Tamandua tetradactyla: one gene and its partners. The protein of the gene in region 3 interacts with the protein of the main gene of each other region in a pairwise test. Links are inferred from orthologs where the notes say so. Each region holds a gene or a part of one and is shown on either strand. Other genes may lie near its edges.

Region 1 (7,279 bases), on a different chromosome or scaffold from region 3:
TTGCTCATAAGTTCAGGAGCTGGATATGCTGAAGAGAAAGGCAGGAGGAGTGCATGCCTTCCACTTTTTTCGGTAGCCTTCTTATCGTTCCTGCGCTGTTATTCTTCGGTCTTCATTTCTTAGTCTATTTCAAGTGTTTAAGAGAACACAGATCATTCAGATTGCCAAAGTCTAACTCGATGAGTCTGTTTCCTCTTTATACTTTGTGCCAGGAACTCTACTAGGCTCTGGGGATTAAGAGACCAACCAGACAGAAATGGTCGCCGCCCCCACAGCATCTATGGGGAAAGCAGACAGTTAAACAAGTAATTATAATAAAGTGGGATGATGGGGCCGTGCCATGCCAGGGGAGCGAGCACAGCTGGGGGTGCTAACATTGTCTAGACAAAAGACAGAGAGATTGATCCAGGCAGAGGGAACAGCATGTGCCAAGGTCCAGAGATGACTGAGCCCAGTGTGCTGAGTGGCTGGCAACAGACAATGCAGCTGGAATGCGGAGCATGTGCAGGGGAGGCACAGCAGGAGGCCACTGATGGGTTTTATGCAAGGGTGTAAGGAGTCAGGTTGACCTAGTGATGAGTTTACTGGCTACAGTGTGAAGAATGGATTGGAGGATCCTTAATTTGAGAAATCTTCGGCTCTGCAAAATGGAAGATAGACTGCTGCCTATTTGTTCTGTAGATAAAAATCCTAATGTAGATGCCTTCTGGAATTTAAATCTTTCTTTTTGTCATAATATTTTTCTGTCACCAGAATTCACTAGAATCTACTTAAACTCTTCCTTTACATGTGGTCTGTTAACCTCTTACACAACTATATCTTTTCTGTAATTGTCCTTAATATTTTATGGGAGTGGAATGGATAAACGTACTCTCCATATGATCCCATAATAGAAGGGAAGAGCAGCCAATTTGCCAAATCTGCTATTCTCATTTTTCTGTGTGTTCTGTGGAAAGCTGCATCTCACCCTCTGATCCACAATATCCAAGTGGAATTTAGATTTCGGAACCGGATCTGTTTGGAATCAGAGAGAAGAAATTCCATAATAATTAGGTAGGTGTTGGTATTCCAGTAAGTAATACTGGAGCTTGGCGCTAAGCCAAGAGGCCATGGGGGTGATGTGTCTCTAGGGGAGGCAATATTTTCCAATGGATGGACCTTCCATTACCGAACTCGGCTTCACCTCTAATGGGTCAACAACAGGGCTTCCATGAGCTCAGGAAAGTGCTCTGCACTCTAAAAAAAAAAGCTGGAATTCAAGTTTTGTCCTTTGGCTAAAGCTGAGATAATAACTTCCCCACCCACCTTTGTCTGCCTCAGGTAGTTGAGGTTTTGGAAATGCATTATTTTTCAATCTTTGGAGATCCTTCTTTCCCTCTCATCCAGCAACCTCCAAAATAAACACACCTGGGCCTGCTGTGGATCCGCTGAGGCACAGCCCTAAATATCTTAACCTTGGCTGGTCTCTGACTGCCTGAGAGATGACTCGGATGTCTCTGCCCCCAGATAGCACAGAGCTCTAACAGAAAATGCTCCTAAAAGCCCTTTGCTGGGAAGCAGGGTTTGGGTACATGGAAATCTCATAAAGTTGTATCCTCCTCTCCTTTAACAGAGGCTGGCAAGTGGTGAGTTAATGTCTGTGGAATAAATGACTGAATCACATGGCCCCAGTTTGCAGTCCAGGTGCCACTATTATCTCTCACTCTTGACCTCCAGCCCAGACTTCAGAACTTTTTCTTTTTGAGATTTTGCAATTCAATTCCATAAATATTTTTGGGAATTGGTCTTGGTCCAGGGGGCTACCAACTACCAAACACTGAGTAGTTAAAAGAGTGTGGACTTGGGTTCAAACCTGGCTTTTCCATTTATTATCTGTTTGATATTAGGGAAGTCACTTAGTGTCTCTCAGCCTCTCTCCTCGTTGTAAATGGAAAATAGTATCTACTGCAAAGGACTATTGTGAAAATTAAACAAAACATAGTACTTAGCACAATGTCTGACACCTGGTAAGCACTCAATACCTGATAATAATAACCACTAATATTTACGAATCCATGTCAGACACTATTCTAGGTTTTGGGATAAACCAGTGAATAAGAAAAGAATGATTCTACTCTTATGGAGCTTACATTTTTCATGGGGGAAATTCCATTACATATGTAAATTTTAAAGAGGGCACTGAGCAGAGATAATATTATGAAGAAATAAGACATAGTGATATGATAGATGATTGGAATGTGGGGGTGGGAGTGGGGTATTAAGGAGTACCCCCTTAAAGAGGTGACATTTGAACTGGGAACTGAATGACAAGGAGAACCCAAGCAGTGATGAGCCCAGAAAAGAGTTAATCCAAAGATCCAGAGCCAGGAATGAGTTTGGTAAGATCAGGCCAGCGTAGCTGGAGTGAACTGGAGGACAGCGCTGGCAGGAGGTGAGGCTGGACATATGGACAGGTCTGGGTCAGGTAGGACCATGATGGTCATGAGGATAAGTTCAGATTTCGATGGGATGGTCCTGGAGAAGTTGAAGCTCAGGAATGACAGAATCTGATTTACATTTTAGAAGATCATTCTGGCGGCCTTATGAACAACAGAGTCGGGGGTGAGGTGGCAAGAGTAAAAGCAGAGATATTGGTCAGAAAGCTATTATAGTGATCCAGGCCACAGGTGATGACGCCTGGACTAGGATGACAGTGCAAACAAGGAGAAAAGGGCACATGGGAGTATAATTTGGCCGTAGGACAAATGGAGGTGAGGGGAATGGGGAGATAGAAGACTTGTGAATGAGCCTAGCATTTCAGTCTGAGCAAGTGGATGAATTTTTCTGAGATGAAGAAGGAATGGATTGTGGGGAAAAATCAAAGAGAACTCTTTGATTTTGGTATTTGGCACAGTAACTGGATCAAGTGCAGGTAAGAGAGGGATTAACTCTGGAGCTGGGGGAAGTGGGGGAGGATTATGAGGAGGATGTGATTGGAACTGGGCCTTAAAGCACTGGCAATGAGACAGCTGCTGGGTCAGGCAAAAGGAGTAATTTGAGTAAAGGTAGGGCATGAGCAGATGCAATAAGCTCATTTTTCCATATTTATTTGTTTCTGAGAACTGAGGAAACAGACTAAGAGAAGTTAAAAAGATCATCCAGTTAGGAAGTTGTGAAACCAAGATCTTCACTCTGCAGCAAAAGTGCTGAATGGGAAGAGAGAGCATAGGAAGTACAGAGTGAAGGGCAGACAGGGACGGTGAGACAGATTATAAAGGCAAATTGGGCCAGATGAAGGGCCTGGAATGCCAAGATGAAGAGACCGGGCCTTATTTTGTAGGTATGGATTGAGAGAAGCTATTGCAGGCTGCCAGACAAGGAGCATGACCTGCACTTTAATATCAGAAGATGCCTGGCTAGCTGGTTAGATAGAGCGGCTGGACTGCATAACACCGCATAACACTAATTTATTCATTTAAAACAATACAGCATGAGGCACTGTGCTAGGTATTGGAGATATAAGGGCAAGCAAAAACAATCACCATCCTTGTCCCCATGGAATTACTTAATAAATTAACCTAATAAACAAGTATAGAATCTAAATTTCCACTAAGAGGCAAGTAACTCAGTAACTACGATTTGACCTACTATGGGGGCAAGTCGAGGCTTCCCTGCTGAGAAATGGACATTCCCTGATTCGGTTACAGGCCACATTGCCACGAATTCATTGTGAACTAAGGCTAGTCACTGCCACTTTGGACCTGTTTCCCCATTTATGAAATGAGGCACTAGAGGATCTCATTTTCCTCCCAGTCTGACAGTTTGGTATTTTCTTCTCTGAAGATCACAGGTCTGTATCCCAACCCAGAGCTACTAATTGGCACCCGGGTGTCTTGTCATTAGAGAGGAGGCGCCGCCCGCCTCCGTCTTCTCCGGGGGGGGGGGGGGGGGTCAGGCGATTTCCCGTTGTTATGGCAACCGCCTGGGCCCTCCTCGGGTGGAAACTTGGAGGAACAACAGCAACTACGCCACTATTCCGCGTCCCATTTGCCAGGTTCTAACATGGCCACTGCAGCAACAACGCCCAGGCGTCTCACTAAGCATCCAAGCCTGGGCAGCCCTGGGGCCTGCGCCAAGTCAGGAAAGAAAGGGTCAGACGCGCCAATGCGGTAAGCAGCATTTCTGCAAACCTCCACCCAGCTCCTGGATCCCCAGGTCTCTCCTGGAGGAACCCGACCGTCACCCTGTTACGTCATACCCGCCGACAGTACCCAAGATTGACAGTCGGAGATATCCAATCAGAAGGGACCCCACCCCCAGGCCCACGCGATGGGCGGGTTCTAGGATGGGAAGCCCCGCCCCTCGCCGACGTGTGACCTCAGAGTCGCCATGGCCAGCTATCCGTACGGGCAGGTGAGTGTGTGAAGGGCCCGCGAATCCAGGTAGGGGCCGTGCCAAGGCCAGGCCCGGGGACCCCGCTCTTCTTTCTCTCTCCGCATTCTCCACGCTGAGTTTCCCAACGGGAGAGAGGAAAAATTGACGGTCGGTCGCGTCTGTCTCACGTCACGCAGTACCGTGCGTCTGAGAGGTCGTGTCGCGCCCTCTCTGACGTCTCCTACGCTAGGATTTGGGGACCTTGGACCCCACGAATTCCGGCTGGACCCGGCCTGCGCCCTACACCCTCCTAGGCTTCCGCCCGGACTCCGAGCGGGGTCATCGGCACTGACAGGACACTGTTTCCATCGGAGTCATTTGGGGCGTCGGATAAACATACAGCATTTCAGAACGACTTCAGGCATAACTGCATCATAATACTAAGGAGAGGCTGTGATTTTACGGCCCCCACAAGTGAGCTGACGTGAACTACTTAGTCCAGCCCTTCCATTTCAAGCATAGGAAACATGAAGCCCAGAGAACGCAGAATTTATATCTAGTATCCAGGTAGTTAAGCAGCAGAGTCGAGATCAGAACCCCGGGCTGCCAGCAAATGACTCGCCCCCACTTGCTAGCCCATCCTCATCCAGCCAAGAACACCACAGGAGGTGATTCCCTGGCCAAGAGTTATATGTTGGGGAACAGTAGGGCATGGTTGTGAAGTGCAGTTTGGAGTCAGACCTAGGTTTGAATCTTAGCTCCATCACTTAAATAATTTTGAGCCCTTAAGCAAGTTATTTTGCCTTTCTGGGCTAAACTTTTCTCTTTAAAATAGGACCAAATGATAGGGCCTACCTCATAGAGCTGTTACTAAGAGTAATGAGATGATGCTTGTAAAGCATTAGGTGCAACAAGTGTTATCCTTTGGTATTGAGATTTTTACTAGATTCCTAGAATATTAGTACTGGGAGGGTCCTCAAGTATGATTTACTTCTCTCATTTTACAGAGAAGGAAATTGAAGCCCAGAAAGGGGTCCTGAATTGCCCAGAATCACACAGTAATTTAGGAGATAAAGCATGTGCAGGAAAAATCAGAAAACAACGGATGAAAGCACTCAGCTAACTATAGTGATGTGCCAAAAGATGTGGCAAGAACCCTTCAAGGGAGCGCAACCAGTTTTCACAGCATTCCATCCACCATCATCACAATCCTGAAGCCCCTATAGCATGCTCACAGGCTTGAATACCCTGATTTACAGCTGAGAAACAAGCCCAAAGAGGTTATGGTTGGGAGGTATTACTCAAAAGGAGCATGAAGAGTAAGGGGCCTGTCCAAAGGCACCCATAGCAAGTGAGGGTAAGGCTAGGGTTTAGAACTCATTTCATTCACACATAGCAGGAGGAAGAAAGGCCAGCATCAGCTGGGGTTAGGAGGAAATATAATCCAGCACAGTTTTTCAAACTCTATCCTGAATCTTTTGAGATGTTAATAGGTATTAGTAATAGGGGGAGGATTCTGTGGTTAAAAATGTTTGGGAAACACTCGTTAAATACAGCTGAATGCATTTGTTCACTATAGAACATGCTAGAATTCATGATTTGCTAATGTGCATTGTAAATCTGCTAGAGAGGGACAGAATATGCAATATTTCTCAAACTTATTTAACCATGGATTCTCCCCCTCCCCCCTTATAAGACTGGTTAACTGTTTTGTGACGCTAGATTTTCTGAGAAACACAGTTTGAGAAAACACTGCCATAGTATATTGTCTCTCAGAGTATGGTTTTCCTGCATCAGAATCACCTGGAAACTTGTTTAAAAAACACACTTTTGGGTCCCACCTCAGACCTGCTGCATGCCCAGAAAAGGTACAAGAATCTGCATTTTAATAAACTTTGGGGTAATTTTTTTTTTGCATCCTAGAAGCAGTAACAGAATTTAGAAGCCTGAGCTTCCAGGTTAGACAGAATTTGGCTGTAATCCTAACTCTACCACTTACTGGTTGTATGCCCTTGGACAAACCATCTAAGGGCTTGGAGCTTCAGTTTCTTCGGTGTAAAAAGGGCAACATGATACTTCATAGGGCTGTGAGGATGAAATGAGATGAAGCCTATAGGGAGCTTGGCATGTTGCTAATACATAGTGTGTGCCAGTGCTTGGTAGCAACTCTTGCTGTGTGATTGCTGCTATTGTGCCATGCTGCCCAGGCTTATGCTTGGGGGGTATTATTGAACAGGAGCATGAAGAGTAAAGTGCCTGGAATAAAAGAATAAATGGCTTTTTTTCCCCTAACATACCCTTGTTTGCCTGTTCTGCTCCTAATCAAAGGTGTTCTAAGAGGGAAATGGTTGTTTTCAAAAGCCCCAAGGGCTCAGTCAGCATTCCCCACCCCCATCCCCCCAAACACACTCACAGTACACAGCCCTGGAAGATTCCAGACAATTGTTAAGAGCTAGAACTCCTGTAATTTTCCACTGCTTCAAGTCCTGGGGCACTCAGGCATAGTCTCGGGAAACCAGATGGGTACATTTCAATGCTGAAAAGCTTGGTCTCTGAGGCTAGATAGATTTGGCATCAGATCCCCCCTCTGACACTTCCTTGAGAAGTTTTCTTGTAAAAAGGCCTGAGGCTCAGTTACCCCTTCTTTAAAATGGGGTCATTGAGGTTACTGTAAAATTGAATGGGATATTCCATTTAAAGGGTTCTGTGTAGTGTTTGGTATGTACTAAACACCCCAAATGGAAGAGTGATACAATGTGTAAATTGTAGAATTAGTGAAAGCATAAAATGGTGTAAGTGTGAGGAACTAGGAAGGCACGGGAGGGATACCTACCTCAGTCATGGGGTGCACGAAGTCTTCTTAAAGAAGGTGACATTTAAACCAAAAGCTGAATTACCAGTAGGAGTTACTTGAATGAAAAAAGGA
Region 2 (7,761 bases), on a different chromosome or scaffold from region 3:
CCTGTTAACTGCAGACACCCCCAGGAGGGGAGGGGAGGCTGGGCTAGTACTTGGACTTTTTACGCTGTCCTTATCACACCCAGAGAAAAAGTCAAAACCCCCAGCCCAGCCTTCTCCACCTGATGAGAGCTGGACTGCTGGTCTTACGGCTCATCTTTTCTCTGGCTCCTGGCTGCTTCCTGGGCACATCAGCCCGCTCCCACCTGAGGGTGCTGGTGCCTCTCTACCCAGAGCCCCCCCCCCCCATATGTATGCCTCACCACCCCCACCTACTTCCAGGCTGTGCCCCAATCAACGTCCCCTTTTCAGCAAGGCCAGCCTGACCACTCAACTTAACAGCACTGCCCACATCACCAACCCCCTCACTTCAGACCCGCCGCCTCCTGCACGCTCTTCCTTTATACAGCACCAACCCGTTTTCAAACAAGGCACAGTTCAAATGTTCCTTGTCTGTCTCTCCCAGGTAGATGGCATATGCAGGAGGGTTGAGATGTCTCCTTGATTTATTCCCATATCCCCAGGGCCTAGAGCTGGGCCTGGTACCAATTAGGCTGCATGTTGGCTACACTGCTTACATTGAGCACACACGCGTTTTCAGATTATAAAATACATCATTTTAAAAGCAAAACAACAAATTAAAGCAGCATGTCTGTCTATGCTACTTGCCACCGCCTCTTCCTTAGGCTCCATCAGAATAGCCATCCTTTGTCCAAACTCACTCGCACATACAAATGCGTATGTGTGTACATAACCTGCTTCCCGCCCTGCCCCAGCCCTTAGGCTGAGCTCATACAGAAGGTGCTCAATAAATGTTCCATGAAGGCACCGCGCATTATACAAACCCCCAAGAAGAAAGGGACCTGAGAGACCACAGGGCCCTGTACCTTCCCTTCCCTTCAGTTTACCAAAAGGACACAAGTGAGACCCACACAGGAACAGCGAGTAGGCAGGGGGCCCTGAGGACAGTTCTATGTCCCAGGATGGAGCCCGGCATACCCAGGTGGACCCATACAGACACCTTGAGGCCATGGGAAGCCAGCCACAGGGGCAGCCTTGGTGGGAGGCTGGACTCACCATTCCTGAGAGGTACTCCGGGTTGAACTGCCCTGCGTAGCTGGCCACGTTATCCAGCCCAATGGGGGGCATGTTGGGTGGGGGGTAGCCAGCACCCCCCCAGGCACCACCACCTGAAAGCAACACCAGGCCCGTGAGCCCTGTCCCGAGTGGCCCCAAAAGGGAAAAAGCAAAGACACTGAGCTCCCAGGAGGTCAGGAGACAAGGCCCAGCAGAGGGGACAGGGCTGCGTCCCACACCCCACAGAAAAGCCTGACTTGATCCTGCTGCCAAAGCAAGAAGGAGAAACCTGCTCCTCCTTCCAGGGAGGGAAGTGGAGCTCAACGGACACTCCTGAGAACAACCCCCCACCCCCACCCCCACCCCCACCCCCTGCGCAGTCACCCTCCCACAGCGGGCAGGGCGGGCACAGGAGGTGACTGCTCGAGAATCCAGAGGGGACACAGAAGCACAGGGGGTGGGGTGGGTTCCTGCCAGTTCGGCTGTTTGCTAGGACACATTTGGGAGAGGCAGGATGAGAGGATGGAGAGACACCACTGGACCACGGAAAACACACAATATGGGGAGATACCAGGAAAAGCTCTAGCTCTGAACAGACAGGGACAGGGGACTCGGCTTGGGGCCGGCACTGCACCACCATGGGCTCAGGCTCCTCCGCTGACAAATGGGATAATTAGCCTAATTAGCCTCCCTGGAAGAGCTGTGAGGAGGGCTGAGAGCCTGGGGAACGTGCACTGGTTAGATGCAGGGACAAGGCCCCCCAAGGACCTGGTTTTGGCTTCTCAGCTCTTGGGCTCTGGGAAGTTCAGGGCAGTGGATCCTTCCCTGTGTCACCAGCCCACTCCCTCTCTGGCTGCTCAGAGGCTAAGCAGCTGTGCTGACAAATGGCGGCAGCGGTGGGACACAGAGGGCTGGACTCCTACCAGGGTGGGGGCTGAGGCCGTGGGAGCAAATCGGAGGCAGGAGCTCGGGTCAGAGAAATGGCTCAGCTAGACCCCTGCTGGGCTGTGAGCCTGGGGCTGAGCCGCCTCCCTGCTCTGGGCCTGTCCCTTCACCTGTCAGTGGGAGGGCGATCCAAGTGACCCACGGGGCCCATCGTGCTTGGGCCCGAGGACCTCGCCAGGTGCAGCCCGGAGTGAGGGGCTCCCTCTTGTCCCAGGAGCCCCGACATTTCCTTTCTGATTGTGGGGACCAAATCTCACTTTAGGAAAACAGGAGGCAACAGGGCCAGAGAAGACGGCTCCTCAGTGTGGTGGAAAGTGGTGAAGTTAGGGCCATGCCTGGATCCCTGACCAGGTGGGTTCACCTCGGTGCTACCTGTGGCCACAGCTTCTGGGCAGCTGCAGCGAGGAAGGCCTCGTTTCCTCCCGCTGTAGGGGGACTGGGCTGCAAAACCATGCACCTGTCACCTAACAGAGCTTCAGGACGCTTTGCTTGGTGACCTCAGTAACAAGCATCCACGCAGCACAGGGAGGGACCCAGGAAGCCATCTTGCAAAGATGAAAATGGAAGAAGGGGCAGCGTTTGCTCAGTGCCATCAGCTAATAAGGCAAGAGAGTGGGTCGGTCCCTGCCTTTGGAAGCAGATTCAAACCCAGGCCTCTTCAGGCCTTGGGGTCCATGCCCTTTTTCTAGCCCCAGCCCCCCAATTGGTGGTTCCTTCCCCTCCCTATGTGGGTGTGCTGTGGAGGAAGATGGGGAGGGAGGAAACTGCCCCAAAACACTATTATTCCCCAGTCCACCCCAGTCCCTCTTACCTGGTGCAGCTGGGGGGTAGCCGCCTGCGGGCGGGGGATAGCCGGGGTAGCTCATGGGGAGATCTGAAAGAGAAGAGGAAAGCACACTCGGGCTCTGCCCCCACCAGCCACACGCACAGCGCTTGGCTTCTTAGACGCGACAGAAACAAACCACAACCAGGACCCTCTCCTCTGACAGCTCTTTTTCTTCCTGAAGCCCTCCCTCCCTCCCCATCGCAACAGCTCTCCTCCTCCCTGTTTTTTGGGCTGCTGGGTTTTCTGGACAACGCTAGGTCTTACGTGGAGGCCTGCTGAAGTTCTCCCTTAGGTCCATCACCGCGGCCTGCAGGGAGCCTCTCAAGTGCCAGCTGACATCACACGCTTTAGCTCAGCTATGTTCCGATAGCTACCGATCTGGTCCACATGGCATTGTGACTCTTCCAAGTAATGGGTACGAAAAGGGCCCAGGACTGACCCCCGAGCCGTCGTCAGGGGTGAACTGTCACATTTAAGAGGAATTTCCCTAAGAAGCATGTGGTGGCTGAGGGACCGCTGGCCCTCCCCCAGTGGCCGGGCAGTAGGCAGCACAGAGTCCTCTGAGGTCCTGCCCAAGTCCTCAGACCTCACTGGTGAGGAGGTGGCGTGGCGGGTTTGAATGATGGACTAGGAACCTTCTGAAGGCAGAAAGAAGAACTGCTCCAAAGGAGAGCAGGGGGAGCTGCTCCCATGTCCTGACACCTTGCCCTTGGGAGACCCATCACCAGGGACGGCCTTTGGGAATCAAAGCCCATTCCCTACTCCTGGTCTCCTCTTAGAAGAATGACGCCAAACGGCCCCTCCATAGCCAGGTCAGAGTTAAAAGACAAGAACAGCACAGTTGGGTTACTACCCTAATTCCTTACGCCAAAATCAATTTTAGCCAGATTAGATTTAAGTGTAAGAAATGGCTCCAAAGCCCAAGAATATAAAATCAAAGCTCTAAAACACAATATAAAGTTGGAGAAATGACAAAGGTAGAAAAAATGTTTTACAGGCCTTGTTTTAAAATAAAAAGCTCTTTAAAGATGAAATCAAAGATACAAGTGCTGGAGAAAATGTAGAGAGAGGGTTATACCTATTCACCGCTGTTAGGGAAGTAAAACGGTGCAGCCCACCTGGATGGCAGTGCAGTGGCCCCACAGGAGGTTAGGTATAGAGCTGCCACATGATGCTGCAATCCTATTATTAGGTATATGCTTGGAAGAGCTGAAGGCAGGGACACCACTGGACATTTGCACACTGGTGTTTACGGCGGCAATTCTCAATGGATGGAGGTGGCCCAAGGGTACCTCAACTGACAAGCAACTAGGTGAATGGACCTTGAGGACAAGGGTGAACATTAGGTGAATATGGACTAGCTATAAGGTGCAAACACTGAGAATTGTAAAGATTCCTAGATTGTAAGTAAGCTCTTACAGCAATCACATCTACTCCTGAGTGTAACACTTATTTCTAAACTCTAAGATGCTGAGCTCTTTGTGTATAACTTCATCGTTTCCCGTAATTTCGATAAATGTTTGACATCTGAGACTCAGAGCTAGAGCGCTGCAGCTCTGAAAATCAGCATTATTCCATACAGCAAGTGTTAAAAAAGCTGAGAAAGAGATCTGACTTCAACTAGAGGAATGAATGACGCTGGTCTGGTTAGGAGTAAGGTGAACCAGATTGAAAGGTAAAGGATGACACTGACTGTGTTATAAAACGTCAACTTCTGTGTGAGACCAGGGAAGAGATGTTTATTTGGTGCAAAATTTATATTTTTTGTAACACACTATCTAATTTAACTTGTACGGTCAGTTTATTTGAACACTATGATTACAGGGAACCTTGAATAGGAAGTGAGGTCCTGTGGGTTTGTACTGGTTAGTGTGATGCCCCAATACATTCAAGAGTAATTTGGGCAGAGAATAAAAAATATTCACAAAGCCCCCTTGAGGGACTGGGGAAAAACTGGAAATATTAAACTTTCTGACCTGAGAAATTCCTGATGTTCTCACAAGCACTGGGAACTACCAATTTAATGGGCTGAGCCCTTGATCTTGGGGTTTGCCCTTATGAAACTTATTCCTGCAAAGGAGAAGCTAAGCCTACTTATAATTATGCCTAAGAGTCACCCCCAAAGAACCCCTTTTGTGGCCTCTCTCTAAGCCAACTTGGCAAGTGAACTCACTGCCCTCCCTCCTACGTGGGACATGACTCCCAGGGGTGAGCCTGGACCTGGCATCGTGGGATCTAAGGGTGACTTCTTGACCAAAATAGGGAAATGAACCAAAAAGTGTCAGCGGCTGAGGGATTTCAAATAGAGTTGAGAGGTCATTCTGTAGGTTATTCTCATGCATTATATAGATATCCCTCCCTTTTTAGTTTTTAAATATTAGAATAGCTAGAAGGAAACACCTGAAACTGTTGAACTGTAATCCAATATCCTTGATTTTTGAGAAGATGATTGTAAAAACTACATAGCTTTTACACTGTGACTGTGAAAACTCCGTGGCTGACAGTATCTTATCCAGTGTATGGATGAGATGAATAAAAAATAGGACAAAAATAAGTAAATAAATAAATAATAGAGGGAAATAAGGAGTATGGTATGTTTTGAGTGTTCTTTTTCATTTTTTATTTTCATTCTTATATGTATTTTTTTGGAGAAATGAAAATGTTCAAAATTGATTGTGGTGATGAATGTACAAACTATAGGATGATTCTGTGAACCACTGATTGTACACTTTGGACAATTCTATAGTATGTGAATATAGCTCAGTAAAATTGCATAATAAAAAAACAGATGAAATCAGTAAGAAAAAGACCAACAACCAGTAAAGAAACTGTTCAAATGATGTGACCAGGCAATTACAGAAAAGGAAACACAGGTGTGCACCTTCACTAGCATACCAAGAGAACTGTCAATTAAAAACCTATCAGATTTAAGAATGGAATGATAATATGGTAAGAATGTTCGTTTTCTTATGTTGTTACATTAAAAAAATTTCGATAAAAAATTTAATTAAAATTTACATTAAAAAATTTTAATTAAAAAAATCTATCAGATTGGAAAACAAACTTTAATTAGATAATTCACCATACTGGCAAGTCTGTGGAAAAGCAGGACCTCAAACACTTGGTGAAATATAAATAAGAACAGCCTCACTGGAAAGCACTTTGGAAAGGCTTATCAAAATTTAAAGTGCACACATACCCTTGGACCCAGGAATTCTAATTTGCAAATTTATTTCCCAAACACGCTTACACATCGGGGTGAAACGACCTAAGGCCATGGAATTTACTGCACCATTAATCTTAATAATAGCAAAGAACTCTATATAAATACCATTGTTAAATAAATTACAGTAGACACCTACAACGGATATTATATAGCTATTTTTAAAGAGGAGATATGAAATGATCATCACGGTTATTAATTAAGGTACAGGACTATGTGTCTATCAAGCTAACTTTTAAAAAAGGAAAACATACAAACACACATTTGTATATGCACACATACGTACACGAGAGCACCTATGTTACGAAAACCTGAGTAACAGTGGTTGCCTTTGGCAGGGAAAATGGCACAGGAACGCACAGGAAAGTGGCTTACTGTTTACATCCATACCCTCTGCCTTTCTGCCACATGCATTACTGCCTGTTAAAAGCACGACTTTTAAAAGGGCCCAACTCCTTTCTTTCTCTCTCAGCCAACATGACACGTAAACTCACCGCCCTTCCCCTCCCTGTGTGGGACATGACTCCCAGGGGTGTGGACCTTCCTGGCAACGTGGGACAGAAATCCTAGAATGAGATGAGACTCACCATCAAGGGACTGAGAAAACCTTCTCGACCAAAAAGGGGAAGAGCAAAATGAGACAAAACAAAGAGTCAATGGCTGAGAGAGTCCAAGCAGAGTCAAGAGGTTATCCTGGAGGTTATTCTTACACATTATATAGATATCACCTTTTTAGTTAAGGTGTAATGGAGAGGCTGAGGGAAGTGCCTGAAAACGTAGAGCTGTGTTTCAGTAGCCATGTTTCTTGAAGATGACTGTATAATGATAAAGCTTTCACAGTGTGACTGAGCGATTGTGAAAACCTTGTGTCTGATGCTCCTTTTATCTATAATATGGACAGATGAATAAAATATATGGATTAAAAATAAATAAATAATAGGGGGAACAAATGTTAAAATAAATTTAGTAGACTGAAATGCTAATGAAAGGGAGTGGTAAGGGGTATAGAAAAAAAATAGGAGAAAGAAAGGCTAAAATATATTGGGTAGATGGAAATACTAGCAATCAACGAGAGGGAGGGGTAAGGGGTATAGTATGTATGAGTTTTTTGTTTTCTTTTTCTGAATTGATGCAAAAGTTCTAAGAAATGATCATGGTGATGAATATACAACTATGTGATGATGATATGAGTTATTGATGGATAATATACCAAGAATGGAATGATCATATGGTAAGAATGTTCATGTTTGCTATGTTAAAAAAAAAAAAGGTCCAACTGAGGTAGGGATTTCTGAACTCACTTGAGGCCAGCCCTTCCTGCCTCCCAGAGTCAGGGCTGCTCTTCCAAGATTAAAATAGCCCACACATTCCCCGTGCCTGCTTATGCAAAGAAAAAAAAATAGCCCACACAGGGTCCATTCAGTCTGCTAGTGGCCCTGCTTGGAGCCAGCCCAGGGTTAGGTGGGGGATTTGGACCTGGAGCAGCCACTGGCTACTAAGGCCCGTGGCAGTTAGCGGGCACTGTCCTTGCTTGCACGCAAACAGGGGCTGCGGGCGCTCGCTCCCGGCAGGGCTTACAAGAAAACTACTCCCCACCCCCACCCCAATAGTCGGAATCTGCCTCCTGGCAACCGGCTCAGCCCTGGGGGGCCCTACAGGGCAGGTCTAACCCCACTCGGAGCAGCTGGGTCGT
Region 3 (6,885 bases):
TAATTTACATGTTTAGTGTACAATAGTGAATAAGTTTAAGAGCAAATAATGGGTTAATATCTTTTCTTTTCAAGAGCAAAATTTCTTGAACACATCTATAAGTACTGAGCATTTCTTAGCATCAACTTTTGCCTTCTCCTGCCCAAACCAAATGATCTCGCTTAGGCTGTTTAAGGTGCCTGAAAACCTTCTACTTGCACATTCCGGTTTCAACCTCATGGTTTACTACTAGCAGCTTTCTATGCTCTCAAATTTGTTACTTCATTAACCTCATACTTGGTTTTCGAACTTCTCTGCAATTATTCTTTTTCTGAGAAAGCATCCACTTCCCCACCTCAACTCTTGAAAGACTCAAGAAAGTTTTCATGAATCCTCCATTAATATTTTTCATATAAATGCCATGTCCTTCCAACTAACTACTCCTTAAATGAATGTCTTGTCTTTAGATTCCTCAATCTCCAGTTCTCCTTCCTCTGGGCAGGTCACATTTTATTAATAACCATCTTAAAATGGAGGATTCACTTGAATACAACACTCTTAAGATTCATGTAAAACAGAGTGGATTGTGTTTCACGATCTGGATGCTATGCTTGTCTTAATGCAAAATAAGAATACAATTAGCTTTTTATCTGCCACTTCTCCAGCAGGACTTTTTATAAAGACTGTGATCGACTAAAGCCTCCATTCACCTGCTAGCCAAACCTGCCCTCTTCATTCAGGAAATATTTACTGAATATCTACTACGTACCATGAAATAAAATTACTTCAACTAAAAAAAAAGGGTATTGTTTGTACTTACTGACTGCCTGAGCATAATAAATATCTTTCAAACAATATATATGCTAACTTCTCCTAACCAAAGGACATGTAAACCAGTATTAACGTAGACAGGGAGCAGTGCTTAGCTTCAGTAAGATGATATTATCTATTCCCAGCAGCACTTGGAATAGTGCCTAATACCCAGCAGGTATTTAAATATTTGTTTTTCTTCCCTGCACAAAAGATGAACCTTCACATTGTACCTTCCTTATATAGCCAGAAGTGACTCCACATCACACATATTCCTAATGAAGAGAAAATTCCAACATGCAATATAACTGGTAATATGTCACTTTGATTGTGAGGGAATGGTTCATTTCCAATGGATCTAAAAATCTGAGTCACTACATACATTTTTATCTGCCATGTTTGCCCGCAAATTCACTTATTACTTTGTGTTTCCCACTGATTGTAAATTGCCTATGGCCGCTAGGTACCAGGGCTTTTTTTCCCAAGGCTGCCCCCAGTCACGCAGTCATCACCTAACCAGAAGTACAAAAGTGTCACAAACTGAGTATGCCACAAAATTTTCCCTTCGATGGTAAATAACATCCCACATTTCTTGATGTTAACAGAATTCTGGTTCTTTTTTTCCTCTAACTTAAGTACTAGTATAAACAACAAAAGGTTGGTAAAAATAACTAGCTCCCAAGGCTGCTGATGAGATCCTTACAGCATTCTCTTCTCCAATCCTGTCCCTTCCCTACCCTCTCTGAAGTCCAGAATTGAGATGACCACTGACTTATAAAATCCTTGAGCAGGAACACGTATCTTGGCACTGGAAAATGAAGTGACATGATAAAAAACCCACTTCCAGAACCAGCACATATGTACAGTGGCCAAACCTGCTGCATTAACACTGAGGGTAGGGCCCTGCTCAAATTTAGAGGCAGCTGCCTGGCACCTCTGGAGAATAGCACTTTTCCTCTAGATATCCTAAGCACACTCAAACTCTGATTATTCCAAAGAATGAAAGAGGCACCAAATCTTGCTCAACCAAAAGCAATGTAGCAAGATGGTAAGATTCCCAGTTATAGCTGAGTGACCTCAGGCAAGTCCTTCCCTAAGCTTCACTTATATTCTAAAGGAAAATAATACTATTTGTGGAAAGATCCTTGTGATGGTTAAATGACATCTTGCACTGGAAGGGCCACAGTAGCCCAGTGTCAGCGTTCTCGCCTGCCATACCGCAGATCTGGGTTCGATTCCCGGTGTCTGCCCATACAAAAAAAAAAAAAAAATATATATATATATATATATACACACACACACACACACACACACACACATATATAATGTATCTAAAATTCCTAGAATAATGCCTTGCAAACAGTCAACTCTTAAAAGTTAGCTCTCATGACTACAAATTGGGCCTCCAGACGGCGCGTGATTAAAAGAGCTGACACAGCCAAGGGAAGAAGTTCCTCGTAAGTGACCGTAACCCATGTATTCCTATAGACACTCTTTTCCATTATTTTCACCCTTCCAAGCGTATCTGGAAAGACGCGCGACCCACCCCAGGCCTCCCAAACTCCCTGTCCTCTCTCTCAAGAACCCAGGCCCCCTGCATTCCGGCGGAACCGGTGTCAGGGCACTTGCGGCCCCAAACACCACCCCGACCCCGCACAGTCCGCCCACCCTGCCACCCGGCCGCGGACCCCTTTCTTTCTGCACCTTCCCCTCCCCCAACACTAGGCTTCGCCTGGCCTCCTCCTCTCTACCCTGGCCCCTCCCCCTACCACAACCCCCTTCCCAAGGCCCCCAAGGCCCCTCTGGCCCCACCCGCCCGGCACCAGGAGGTTCGAAAGAGGCCTTCCCAACGCCTCCTCGCCCCCATCTCCGGCGACCATACCGGGTTGCTGAGGCCGCTGCCTTCGCCTTCCCGCGGGTCTTCGCTGGCAGCGTCAGAGCGAGGCTGCCCCTGCCCCTGCTGCCAGGCTCCGAGGCGTCAGAATTCGGTCACGACCGGCACGGCTGCTCTCGGCCGCCGCCGCACCTCGCTCGCTCGCTCTCTCGCGCGGACGGGGCCAATCACACAGACCCAAAAAGCCTAGCGCGAGCTTGGGCGCAGTACGTGGCAGGTGGGGGAATAAGAGGGCGGGACAAGAAAAAATCTGCCCTCTCGCCCCGCCTCAGTGCCAGCGTTCTAGGACGCATGCGCAAAGGCGTGGGCGTGGGGCTGGATACAACCGTGGTCGCGTCTGCCTAAGGGTCACTATCTTCTCACTGGGTGACTTAGAGGGTTGGAAGTGTGAACAGAACGGAGGCACGCATGCGCGGGGCGTGACCAGGCACTTCCGGTTTTCCTCAAATCAAGTCTTTTCCGGTTCTTCTCCCTGGGCGGTACGGCAGTTGCAGTTCTGGACTTTTTTTAAACAGCCAGCTGAAATTTTTCCAAATTTGGCTGTTTTTGTTCTTTTGACCATTGTGGTGCTCGTAGTCACATCTCGAAAAAACTAACCTTTTTCCCGCGTTCATTCCACGCATCCATTCATTCATTCTTACTGGGCGCCTACTCTTTGCCATGTATTGGTTTATAGATGAATCAGTTTGTGAGCAAGGAGTTTACAATTCAACAGAGTAGACCAACAACGTTTACAAGACAGGACAAAACTATAAATGAAGTGCTAGGAGATAAAGACTCTCTATGGTTTCCTGAAGTCTTTTTGGAGTATGACATTTGAGCGTGTCCACATCCCCTTCTTCACTTTAAGCATTTGTTTTGCTTAAGACAAGGTACTTGTCTCATATTGAATCCTAAGTGTTTCGGGTCAAGTGGTAACCGTGAGGATAGGGCCCTGCTATTTTAGGAAGGGACATGCTATTTTAAAAGTTACGAACTGCGTTGCCTTCTAAGGTGAAACTAAGCAAATACTTAAAGCATTTCCAACTTAATCCTGTCCCGTGGATATTCCTGAAGGACCTGAGGTAAAGTAAATTCAGGTGCCTCAGGGTGAAAGTTAGTTCTTTTAGTACTGTAAATATTTTGATCTCTTTGAAGTTATGTCTGAAAATTCTGTTTGAGTGAAACGTGTAAGTTTAGAATGCTTTTTACCTCTGAGTGTTCGTGTATTTCAACACGATTTTGAGTATTGCTCTCTGACAGTTGCACAATTGCAGGTGGCATCAAAAAGTTCCTGATTTTCTCCAGAGACTTCTTCATTGCTTGTTTTTAAAAATTGGACAGTCTGCATTTGTAGAAATGTTCTGCTGTCCTATAATTTTTTGATATTTTGGGGGAGTTTTTGATATTTTGGGGGATAGTCTGGGATTAGGTAAAACCACACCTAATGAGCAGAGGTAAACTACCTGAAAGGAATGAATTCTACCACTGTCAATCTTCCTAATAAGAGGTCACACTATGGGGTGGGTGATAAAGATATGAACCTTGGCATGGAATGAGAAGGAAAAATTTCTTTAGACTCCTAGGACCAGGATACTGACTCAAGAGTCCTCGCACTGAGGAGATATAAGCTGTCCTCTACCAAACTATGGCCAGCTGAAGCTAGGAAGAGAGGCATCCATAGGGTGGCTTTGTAGAGGGACTGGGGTTTGTGGACTTTGAAAACAGTTTCAGATCCTCTGTGTTGTAATTCCTTTGTGCTTCATGCCCAAACCATTAGTAAAGTCTCATTTAATGTTAAAAACCTGCTCCCATTTACCACCATGGAAATTGAGGGAATAGGGTTGTTGTTATTTGGTAGGTCAAAGCAGAAGAAGGAACTACCCAGACAGAAGTGAGCTACAGGAGAGTAAAATAGCATTTTGGAGCCAATTGAAGGTTCAGGTTACACAGGACAAAAAGGACATCTGTGCAACATTAAAGCATTTCCCAAGGATTACTCAGAAATGTGTATTTTAAAGTTTTTAATGAAGGGCTTTATTATGGGTTCTGCATCATGCTGTTCACCTGGATATAGTTTTACAGTATTGTGATTGGCATGATGTCTGGAATATCTGAGTTGTATTTATATGTCATATGAGATCATGTATTGGGAAGTTGTCATGGTTAGGTTCATGTGTCAACTTAGCCAAGTGGTTGTACCTGTTTGTCTGTTGGGCAAGTGCTGGCCTATCTGTTGCGATGAGGACATTTCATAGAATTAAATCATGATCACATCAGCTGCATCCACAGCTGGTTACATTTGTAATCAGCCAGAGGGGAGTGTCTTCTGCAATGAGTAATGCTTAATCTGATCACTGGAAGCCTTCTAAGGAGGATTCAGAAGAGACAGGCTCTTCTGTCTCGGCTGGTGAGCCTCTCCTGTGGAGTTCGTCCAGCCCCTCCATTGAATCATCAGCTTCACAGCCTGCCCTGCGGATTTTGGACTCTGCGTTCCTGTGGTCATGTGAGACACTTTTATAAATTTTATATTTGCAAGTGTTCCCTATTGATTCTGTTTCTCTAAAGAACCCTAACTAATACAGAAGTATACATAATTATTATTTGATTTTGATATATTGTCCCAATTAGGTTAGAACGCCTTAAAAACAAACAATATCCAATGCATTTTTCATATTTCAGCTCAAGTACCAAACCATCCATGAAAACTTCAGTGATCTTTCCTGCTTCTGACCCTATTTATATAACAATTATCTTTCTAAAATTAATTTAGAAACATAATGAACAATCCTGAATTTTGTGTTTAGCATTTGCTTGGTTTTTTTTACATCTTGTTTGTAGTTTAGTTACGTGTATTTATGCTTAAGCAATGATATTCAATTTTATTTGTTTATGGACATTATGTAGATTATCATCTATATGCGGTTTCCTGTAACATAATTTTTATACACAATATTACGTTACTAAAATAATACATGTTGTTATATACAGTTGGAGTTTATTTTCACTACTGAATAATATTTCTTTAGGTGAGTATACTACAATGCTTTAAAATCTTTTCTCCCATCAAAGGATATTTGGGTTATTTCCAGTTTTTTACTGTATGTTGCTATGAATTTCTTGTATATGTCTCTTATGTAAGAGTTTTTGATCAGTTATATACCAATCAATGGATTGCTGAATGGTAGATTTTGCAATATTTAACTGTATAAGATAATGCCAACCACTGGTATTGTTAAGCCTTTTTATTTTGGGAGGCATAAATGGTTTCTTTTTGGGGTCTTAATCAAGATCATAAAGACCACAGTATAACCCTGACTTTGTGTACCAAACACTTGACAATTAGACGTTTAGTTCCTTGTGTTCTCTCATGGGATTGTCCTGTATCCTTATCTTTCTATGTTACAGTATCTGTAACAGTGATTGTATTTTCTCTGTCCCTCCCAGCACCTGTCATTTTACTGTATGAATAGTGAGCATTTAGTGAGTATCTGTTGAATCAATGAAATAGTTATTACTATTTCTGTAACATGCCCACAGATGATTATATAAGTCTCTGTATTTAGACTCCCCGTAAATACAGATGATTATGATAGAGTGATAACTTGAATTGAATCAGTTACCCTTACAAAGAACATAATTTCTCCCATTGTATATATAAACACTGATTTTAGTTAGTGCTGCCTTCTATTAGTAAAGCCAAAAGGACTAAGTTATAAGATTATCACTTATTAAGCAGTTATGACCACATTTATTGTAGATGATCATCAAACATGCCATTGAGAAGATTGTTCTAGGGACAGGTATTGTGTAAGTAATCACATTTTTAAACCATTGCTCTTCAGAAGACATCTTGCCCTCTTTTGTGTGGAGCCTGGAAAGGTACTGAGCTAGACTAAATTAACCCTCATGTTACCTGTCCTGTCTCATGTGGAGGTGAATTTAGTTTTAAATCAACATTAAGAATAGCCTTGAATCTGAAAGTACCACTTAATGCTATGTGAAAGTTGATACTATGTGAAGAAAGGAGGAGCAGTGTTAAAAGAAATATCTTTGACACTGACTGAAGCAAAAGGGGAAAAATGAAGCTCTGCAGTTCAAAAGATACTTTCCATGTTTCATGTGAAGCATGTGAAGAAGTGTTAAAGCTATACTATGATTTTGAAAGACAAAATCACTACTACTCACTCTTTTGCTCTGAAAGTCTGTATGGCTAGAATTTA
Region 4 (7,679 bases), on a different chromosome or scaffold from region 3:
GTTTCAAAATGTAAAAATACCTAGATTTCAACCAAAATATATGAATTATACTACTTATTAAAATGAGGACAATGTAACATTGAATGCCATCAAAAAGTTATAATAATAAAAGGTTTTCACTTCTCTTTCCTTTGGAAAAACCTAAACGCAATGCTTGGAAAATTTTCCATCACTACTTACGAAAGGATCTATACATCATCCAAGAAAATGAGCAGCAATAGTAATTTTACAAGAACACATTTCTTTTGACATACACTAGAAAAGTAAAGCATAACATTTCTATGAACTTCTAAACCAGAAACCATCTCCTCATCTGTTACAATTATCCCCAACTACCTCACAGATAATTACAGTAACACTTGATTTATAAAGTGCTATACTCATATAAGATATTAAGAGAAACTAAAGGAAGCTGGATAGGATTTTCATGTTGATTTGTTTAGTATTGGGGGAGGGTGATGGCAATGTATTGTTTTGAAAATTACAAATTTTGAGGTAGAATATATGATACTTTTCAAACTAGTTCATTTATTAGCTATGTTCTGTTTCTGACTTTTGGAAACTCAAGAAATTGGGGTTTTGAGATGTTCTGCACATTCAAATTTACTTTAAAACGTGTAATTTCAAAAATTCAATCTTTCAGTAATCTTATGTTAGATATACGTAATACATATATTCAGATATGTATGGAGCTATATGGGCTAGTCATGGTGTTGGGCTCTAAAATTAGTATTACATGAAGCAAAGGCTTAATGCTACCATAAAACGCAGCTACATTACCTAAGCACAGGGTGCTATGGGACTACCTCCAAGAGGACCCTAAAGGAATCAAGAAAGGGGATGTCAGGAAGGACTCCTGAGGAGCGGTGCCTTCACAGTCTAGAAGAAAAATGAGGATAGATCTAGGGGCAAATTCTAAGGAAAAGAGGGCAATTTCTTTCAAAAGATGGGAGAGAGGCAAGAAGGCAGCTGTGGGGAAGTACAAACAGCTCAGATTGGTCGGAATATAGCAAAGGAGAGAAGGGATCTGAAACTCTTAGCAGACAGGAGACCTTAGATCAGGATGTGACTCCTCTTTGGTCACTTAAGAGTCAACTCATCTGAATGAATCTGCTTCTTCAACTCTGAAGAATATATTAATAATGTTGTGAGAGATTAAGCGTGACATGTCAAATATCTACTATGTACCTGGAAAAAATGGGTGGGCCACGAATACCAAATTCTCTTACCTTCATTTGTAAATGGGCAGATGAGCATTTGGTTAAAAAAATGAATACTGAAAGAATACCCGCCTAGGCTCAAAGTGCAGCTCTTCACTGGCTGGCTCTGAACCTTGGACAAATGAAACTGTCCAAACCCCACAGGTTAAAAAGAAAATACGAACAGTATCTACCTCACAGAGGAGCTGGAAGACTTATACAATAAGTAAATCTCTGACTCGTCTGGCACATAGCAAAAATTCAACAAATACTAGCTTTTATAATTACTATTACAGGGTTCTTATCTTTCAATCTCCAAACCTTTGAAAACAAAAGAAACTGTGCCAATTTTCGCACAAAACTTACTTGGAGGCAAAACCTGAACTGAGGCTATTTGTAGTTCCTATTAATTCCCACTTAAATGAGTGGATATTCACACCTCCACAAATAAAAGTTGGATGTTTGGGTGCTGCGACTCACGCGGGGGACGGGGGGTATTATCAGCTGTTTAAGCACCAGACTGTATTTCTAAAATCTAAAGGAAAAATCCAAAGATTTCTAAATTCCAAAACACACTGGCCCCAAGGGTTTCAGATAGAAAACTAGGGACAGCTATCATCCGTTTCTCCAGGAGAGATGTCAGAAACAGTCCCATCTATGCATCTCAATTCAAAAGTTTCTGGGGGCAAATTAGTTTTGAATAGGGGGATCCGAGACACCAGTATCAACGAAAATCTGTATTTTCCCTTCCTCCAAAACACTTCTGAACTATTTCTGAGGTAACAGTCCACCTGCAATAAGGCTCTGTTTTCAAAACAGGCCTGTACAACTACTAGGTGCACAAATGTGTATTTCTCTAATAGTAATGCTATAAAAAATAATTTCCAGTCAAGTGGGCCTGGACGGACGGGTCAACGTCAGAATCTTTATTAAAAGCACTATTGTTGGTTTCTAAAGTATAGAGAAAAAAGATTAAGCTATTTATGAACCGCAATACCTAATATATACCCCAAGATCCAAAAAAAAGAAAAGAAAGCATTACAGAACTCGGCACGTCTCGTATTTCCTGTCACGGGTATCCAAAATTGAACGCATTGTCCCCAACTCGTCTAGAGAATAATCAAAACGCTGTCACCCTGACAATCACCTCAAAAAAGCATCAGACTCCTCTAAGTATCTAATTCAGGGCTTCCTCCCTTTTTATCAGAAATTAATCAGCAGGGGCGGGGGGTCTGCGCCAAGGGGCGCGAGGCCTACAGTCCTCCGGGGCCGAAGAAACAAAGGGAATGCGGGACCAACCGGAGCGAACCGGCCTCCGAGCGGGTCGCGCCCGCCCCGGCGGGTGGGGGAGGGGAGTAGGCCCCGCCCCCACCCGGCCTGACGTCAAGCGCCGAGAAACCCGCCGGGCGTGACGTCACCGCCTTGGATGCCTCGGACGCCTTCTCCTTGGGTGGGCGATGGGGGGTGGTGGCGGCCAATCTGGGGCCCGCAAGGAGGTGACCGAGAGAAACGCTCACCTCCCAGGGAGGTGAGCACGGCCCAAGCACCGGAGGAGACTCGAGGCACCGCCGTTACTGAGCCCGCCCTCCAGCCCTTCAACGTAATCTTTCCGGGCCCGCTCCGCGACTCCCACCAGCGCCACAGCAGCCTCACCCGGCAAGATCCAATCCGTAGCAAGGTCTAGAAGCGGCGATGGGTACGAAGGAACTGAAGGCTGACGAACCAAACGCAACCTGACGGGCGGCGGCGGCAGAAGCGGCAGCAGCAGCGGCAGAGGCAGCGGCGGCAGAGGCAGCGACGGCGGCAGCAGCGACGGCAGCGCGCGGCTCCTCCTGGCGCCGGAACAGGAAGCGCCTAGCGTGCCTCCCCCGCGCGCTCCCGCCCCTCCCCTCGCGGCTGGTCCGGCGCGCTCCCTGCAGGCCCCGGGCAGCACTGCATCCGGTCCCGGCTGGGCGGTGCGGCTCTTCTTAGTCGGCGGGTGGAAAACTCCCATGTTTTCCAAAGTTCCTAGGACTAGGAAGAAACGCCTGTGGCCGGTGAAGTTCAGGGGAAATTGACAACTTGTTGCCTTGAGTGGCGGCTTGAGGCCAGGCCCTATTCTGCACCCCTAAGCGCAGCAGTTTTTACAACCGGGCCTCGAAGGAGGCTGTGTGTGTGTGTGTGTGTGTGTGTATGTATGTGGCCAGTTTGCTGTGTGTGTGTGTGTGTGTGTGTGTGTGTGTGTATGTGGCCAGTTTGCGCCTAGCAAAGGACTCAGACATTAGACACCCATAAGCCAAAATTGGAGTTGAATGAACAATGCAGGAAAGGAAAAACATTTACACATTTACAAATGGCTTGATAAATTGCCATTAACTAAAGGAACAGCTCTCTCTTCGCATTTTTCCTGAGCAATGCCTCTTCTCCGCACATGTTCATTTTTGAATAACCGTTAAGCACCTACTCCGTGTGAGGCCCAAAAGATAAATGACATAGTCCCAGCCGTCAGTGAGCCACAGGCTAGTAATAAAGATGTGATAATTACACGGTGTGCAAAAAATAGTTGAAGCTAGTTGTTAAAAGTATGCTGTACACTACATTATTTTGCTTGTGTAAGGCGTTTGTGGGTCAGTGGCCGGTCATTGACTATGAACTACCTAGATGAAGACTTAGCTTTGGGTGTGCTCGCAGCATATACTTCTCATACAGAAATGAGCAATAGAACATCAGATACCTAAGTCTTGGAAAGACATAACTTTGGATAGGAGTACAGGGCTCTGGTCTATTGACAATCACACCACTAGTGTGGATAAACCAACCCTGACTTATAAAAGGCAGTTGACCAGCAGTGCTTTGCAGAGCCCTACTGAAGCCTGAAGCAGAAGGAAATATCAGTAATCCAGATTCTGCATTTATCTAAAATGTTGATATTTTGTTCCACAGAATATTTTTTTAAAACCTCACCCTAGTTGTGGCCTCTATTAGAATGACTGACAGCCTCCAGATTTTTCCTGCTGTTTCCATTCAATAACTGAGCAGGGTTGGGGTTCTAGAGCCAGGCGATTCTTGTTCTATGTTGGATTTTCTACGGGCAAAGTTTGTTTGGAAACTAACTCCCCATATGGTTCTGAATATTCAGAATTGCACTGCAGTCTGAAGCCCACTCTACCCAATCTTTCCTTCCAGTTTTCCTTTTACAGGTGTCAGATTTGCAATGTTGTCTTTAGACTTCCCCACCTTCTCCTATTTCCTCCCCCTTTATCCTTCATGGGTGTTTCCCTCAATAAGTCTGTTGTGCATTTAATCGCATCTTGGCATCTCTTCTTGGAAGACCCAAACTGACACATGAAAAACTAAAAGGAGTGTATTGTAAATTAGAAAATTTGTGAGACTACAGAGTTTTAAATTTTTTTTTACATATTCTAAGTTGAACATGAGAGGCCATACAATGTTTTAAAAACAAAATACAAAGCCTTTGGATTTCATATATTGTTTTAATTAAGAAGAAATGAGAATTTATTCAGATCAATTTATTTAAAGTCACAGCCAAGAAGAAACATTCAACTCCAGGATTAGAAATAAAAATGAAAATAGTTTACTTTTGGGGAGGAAGGGGTGGAGAATAAATCATACAAGCCTGATTGACAAGAGTACTAATAGTTTTGTGAAGTTACTACTTAAGCTTTGTACATTCAAGTAGATATCAAATTCATACTTGGCTTATAGAGTTTATCCAATTCTGGTAAAGACAGTATTCTTTGAGTAAACCTCTGAGTTTTACACCATGTCTCTCAAGTCTGAAAGCTTAAATTTGACTACATGTATGGCAAAAATGATTATCTTTATTTCCTGCAAATGTAATCAATTTTAAAATAAGTTAGGCAAACATCAATTTTACATAGGCCTTCTAAAGTGTAGGAGGAAATTACAATTGTTCATCTAATTGCAGAGTCCAAACAGTGAATTCAAATCTGGAGTTACCTCTATTGTCAAAGCAAGCCAGGAAAGGTTATTACAAACTAAAAGATGTGACTGTGATTCTGCAGGGTCTATTAAAGGGATACTTTGAAAATCATTACATTACTACTTAAAAGCTGTACTTATTTTCAAGTATGCCCCAAGGGCCACTTCTTAACTTTAGAATTAACCTATAGAAAGCCAAGTGACAAGTATTATTACCTACATTTTCTATATAAGGAAATGAAGGCAAAGAAAGATTTAGGACTGAATAATCTACTCAAAAGTCTAAAGTAAATCAAAGATAGACTTTGGCTTTATTTAGAAAAGAATTCATATGCCCTAAATCCCTTTCCATTGGGTTATATCCATCAGTCTACATTTCTAATTAAAAGCCAATCTATTTTTAAAATTTATGTCCATTTTGTGTCTAGTATCTTAATGAATTAAAGTAGTATAGATAGACTCTTGCAGCACTGCTCAGTTTTTCTACTAGGCCATTGAACAAAAGAAAAACCCTTTGTGCTTTTGGTTCTTTTTTTAGAAATTAAAAAATGAGTGTACAATTGATTGTTAAAACAAAAATTGTTAAGTTTTTTTCCCCCCAAAGTAGAAACAATTATTTACTTGACTCAAAATCTTTAACTCATTTTGGCATTAAGTTACCTAATGCTACAGACTATTTTACATTAGAATTTTTTCCTTGTCTCCAGGAATCTTTTTTTTTTTCATGGGCAGGCACCGGAAATCGAACCCGGATCTCCAGCAGGGCAGGCGAGGCTCGAGCCACCATCGCCCGCCCTCCAGGAATAATTTTAAAGTATACTTAAAAGTATACTTTCCTGAGACATCTGCTCCACCAAAATCAATATATAAGCTGTTTATTGGACTCTGATTTATAACTAAAAGTGACAAAACTCCATTTTTTAAATGCAAATGAGTGTATTTATAAGAGTTAGGTCTTAAGGTTTTTGTTACATAGGAAGGAAGCTCTCTATTATGTGGATCGATAAAATGATCCAAACTGAAGAGAAACAGGAAGCTGATAACTTGATTTATCTTAATGGCTTTGTCTCATGAATAAATAATTTGTCTGTGTTTTTCTTATAAAAATAAATGGTATTTGTTCAATAATGTGAGCCCTACTTACCACATTTGTTCTACTTTTTAAAGGATTTCCAATTTCTAAGACATTCTTTATATTATTTATGTCAAAACTTTAACTGAAAGCAACTTTTTGACCACAGTTGGCCATTAGATGAAATTCAAGAAAGAACACAGGTTTGATCAAATCAATAAATCTAGCCACAAGCTGACTAAAAGCTTCCTTTAATCTTCTTCCTATTGGGTCTTCCTTTAAATTAAAGCTTTCCCTCTATGAATTATTTAAGTGAATGGCATGGTTATAGAAAGAGCACATTACTCTTCATACAAAAAACACAAGGAACCTAAAGAAATCCATTTAATGTATTTCAGGAATTATAGTATGAATCAAAGATGCTGTAGCTTTAAAAAAAAAAAAGTGGTGGTGGTGGTGGTGGAGAGAGGATGTCCTGAAAAGCTTCAGAGAGAAATAGAAAAGTCAAGTTTATTTCCTGATTAGTGCAGTATTATTCCCAAAGTGCAGTTAAGTGTCTGGTCCAGACTAGCTGTTAGTGATTAAGCAGTTTCCTTTCACTGTCAAGGCTTTTCCCTGAGGTAATGCTTAAATTTTTAATTTTAATATTTTATCCTGTTTCTTTTAGCACAATCCTCTCTTGCCAATAAGTACTACAGATTTCCACCATGCTGAATGTTTTCTCAACACTGGATTTTACACTTTTCAAATGTTTGCCATGTTCAACTTAATGATTTACAAAATTTATATTTAGATAAATTTGTATGTCTTCACATCTTCTCAAAACTTAGCCATTTTAGTTATCTCTCAATACTTTTTTTTAACATTTTAAAATGAGTTATGCTTTCCAAATATTTCCTCACAAAGTCGCAGAGAAAGGGTTAACCTTTCTAAATTCCAGTTCCTTACACTGTTTTAAAACATTAATTTATTGTTACTTTTTCCCTTTCCCTTCATGATAAACAATTCCCTTCTCAAGTATTGATATTTCTACTTTTCAAATTTCTTTTCACTGTAGCAGATACCAAAGGTAAAATGCAAATCATTTCAGAGTAAATATTCTGTAAATATTCTCTTCCCTGCTCTCACTTATTAGGTCAACTACTTTAAGGTTATAATTATGGCAGTATTTTAAAAATGTTAACAGCTGCTAATACGTTGAGGTTGGAAAAATAAGAATACCAAGAGAAAATATATCACTAGCAACTAGTTTGAATTATATGAAAAGCTACTTAGATCTTGACTTTCATACAAACACTATTTTTTACTATTATAAAAACAACATAATTATATTTCATTTTTCTTTATAAAACTACCCTTTAACAGAATATTTGTTAGCTAGTCTTCCTTTAGGTTTTTCTGTACTAATAAAAAGTTATGTTTAAAAGAAAAATACTTAAAATTATAATTGTTTCACAGAAACAGAA

What was found.
Region 1: the proteins of protein TFG (region 3) and PEF1 interact in binary tests that used the Homo sapiens proteins (3 or more experiments, as listed by UniProt). The two-hybrid records come from large-scale screens. The link is inferred for Tamandua tetradactyla from reciprocal best matches to the Homo sapiens genes TFG and PEF1.
Region 2: the proteins of protein TFG (region 3) and ANXA11 interact in binary tests that used the Homo sapiens proteins (3 or more experiments, as listed by UniProt). The two-hybrid records come from large-scale screens. The link is inferred for Tamandua tetradactyla from reciprocal best matches to the Homo sapiens genes TFG and ANXA11.
Region 4: the proteins of protein TFG (region 3) and MAPK1IP1L interact in binary tests that used the Homo sapiens proteins (3 or more experiments, as listed by UniProt). The two-hybrid records come from large-scale screens. The link is inferred for Tamandua tetradactyla from reciprocal best matches to the Homo sapiens genes TFG and MAPK1IP1L.

What each region holds. Positions count from the first base shown.
Region 1 is NC_135328.1:194,157,904-194,165,182, forward strand, and holds the start of PEF1 (peflin), read left to right. Parts: upstream 1-4,263; 5' UTR 4,264-4,368; coding exon 4,369-4,392; intron 4,393-7,279. UniProt on the Homo sapiens protein: Calcium-binding protein that acts as an adapter that bridges unrelated proteins or stabilizes weak protein-protein complexes in response to calcium.
Region 2 is NC_135339.1:16,846,115-16,853,875, forward strand, and holds the start of ANXA11 (annexin A11), read right to left. Parts: upstream 3,010-7,761; 5' UTR 2,886-3,009; coding exon 2,831-2,885; intron 1,188-2,830; coding exon 1,075-1,187; intron 1-1,074. UniProt on the Homo sapiens protein: Binds specifically to calcyclin in a calcium-dependent manner. Required for midbody formation and completion of the terminal phase of cytokinesis.
Region 3 is NC_135336.1:46,984,271-46,991,155, forward strand, and holds the start of protein TFG, read right to left. Parts: upstream 3,023-6,885; 5' UTR 2,672-3,022; intron 1-2,671. UniProt on the Homo sapiens protein: Plays a role in the normal dynamic function of the endoplasmic reticulum (ER) and its associated microtubules. Required for secretory cargo traffic from the endoplasmic reticulum to the Golgi apparatus.
Region 4 is NC_135338.1:11,053,392-11,061,070, forward strand, and holds the start of MAPK1IP1L (MAPK-interacting and spindle-stabilizing protein-like), read right to left. Parts: upstream 3,021-7,679; 5' UTR 2,853-3,020; intron 2,535-2,852; exon of another isoform or gene 1-2,534.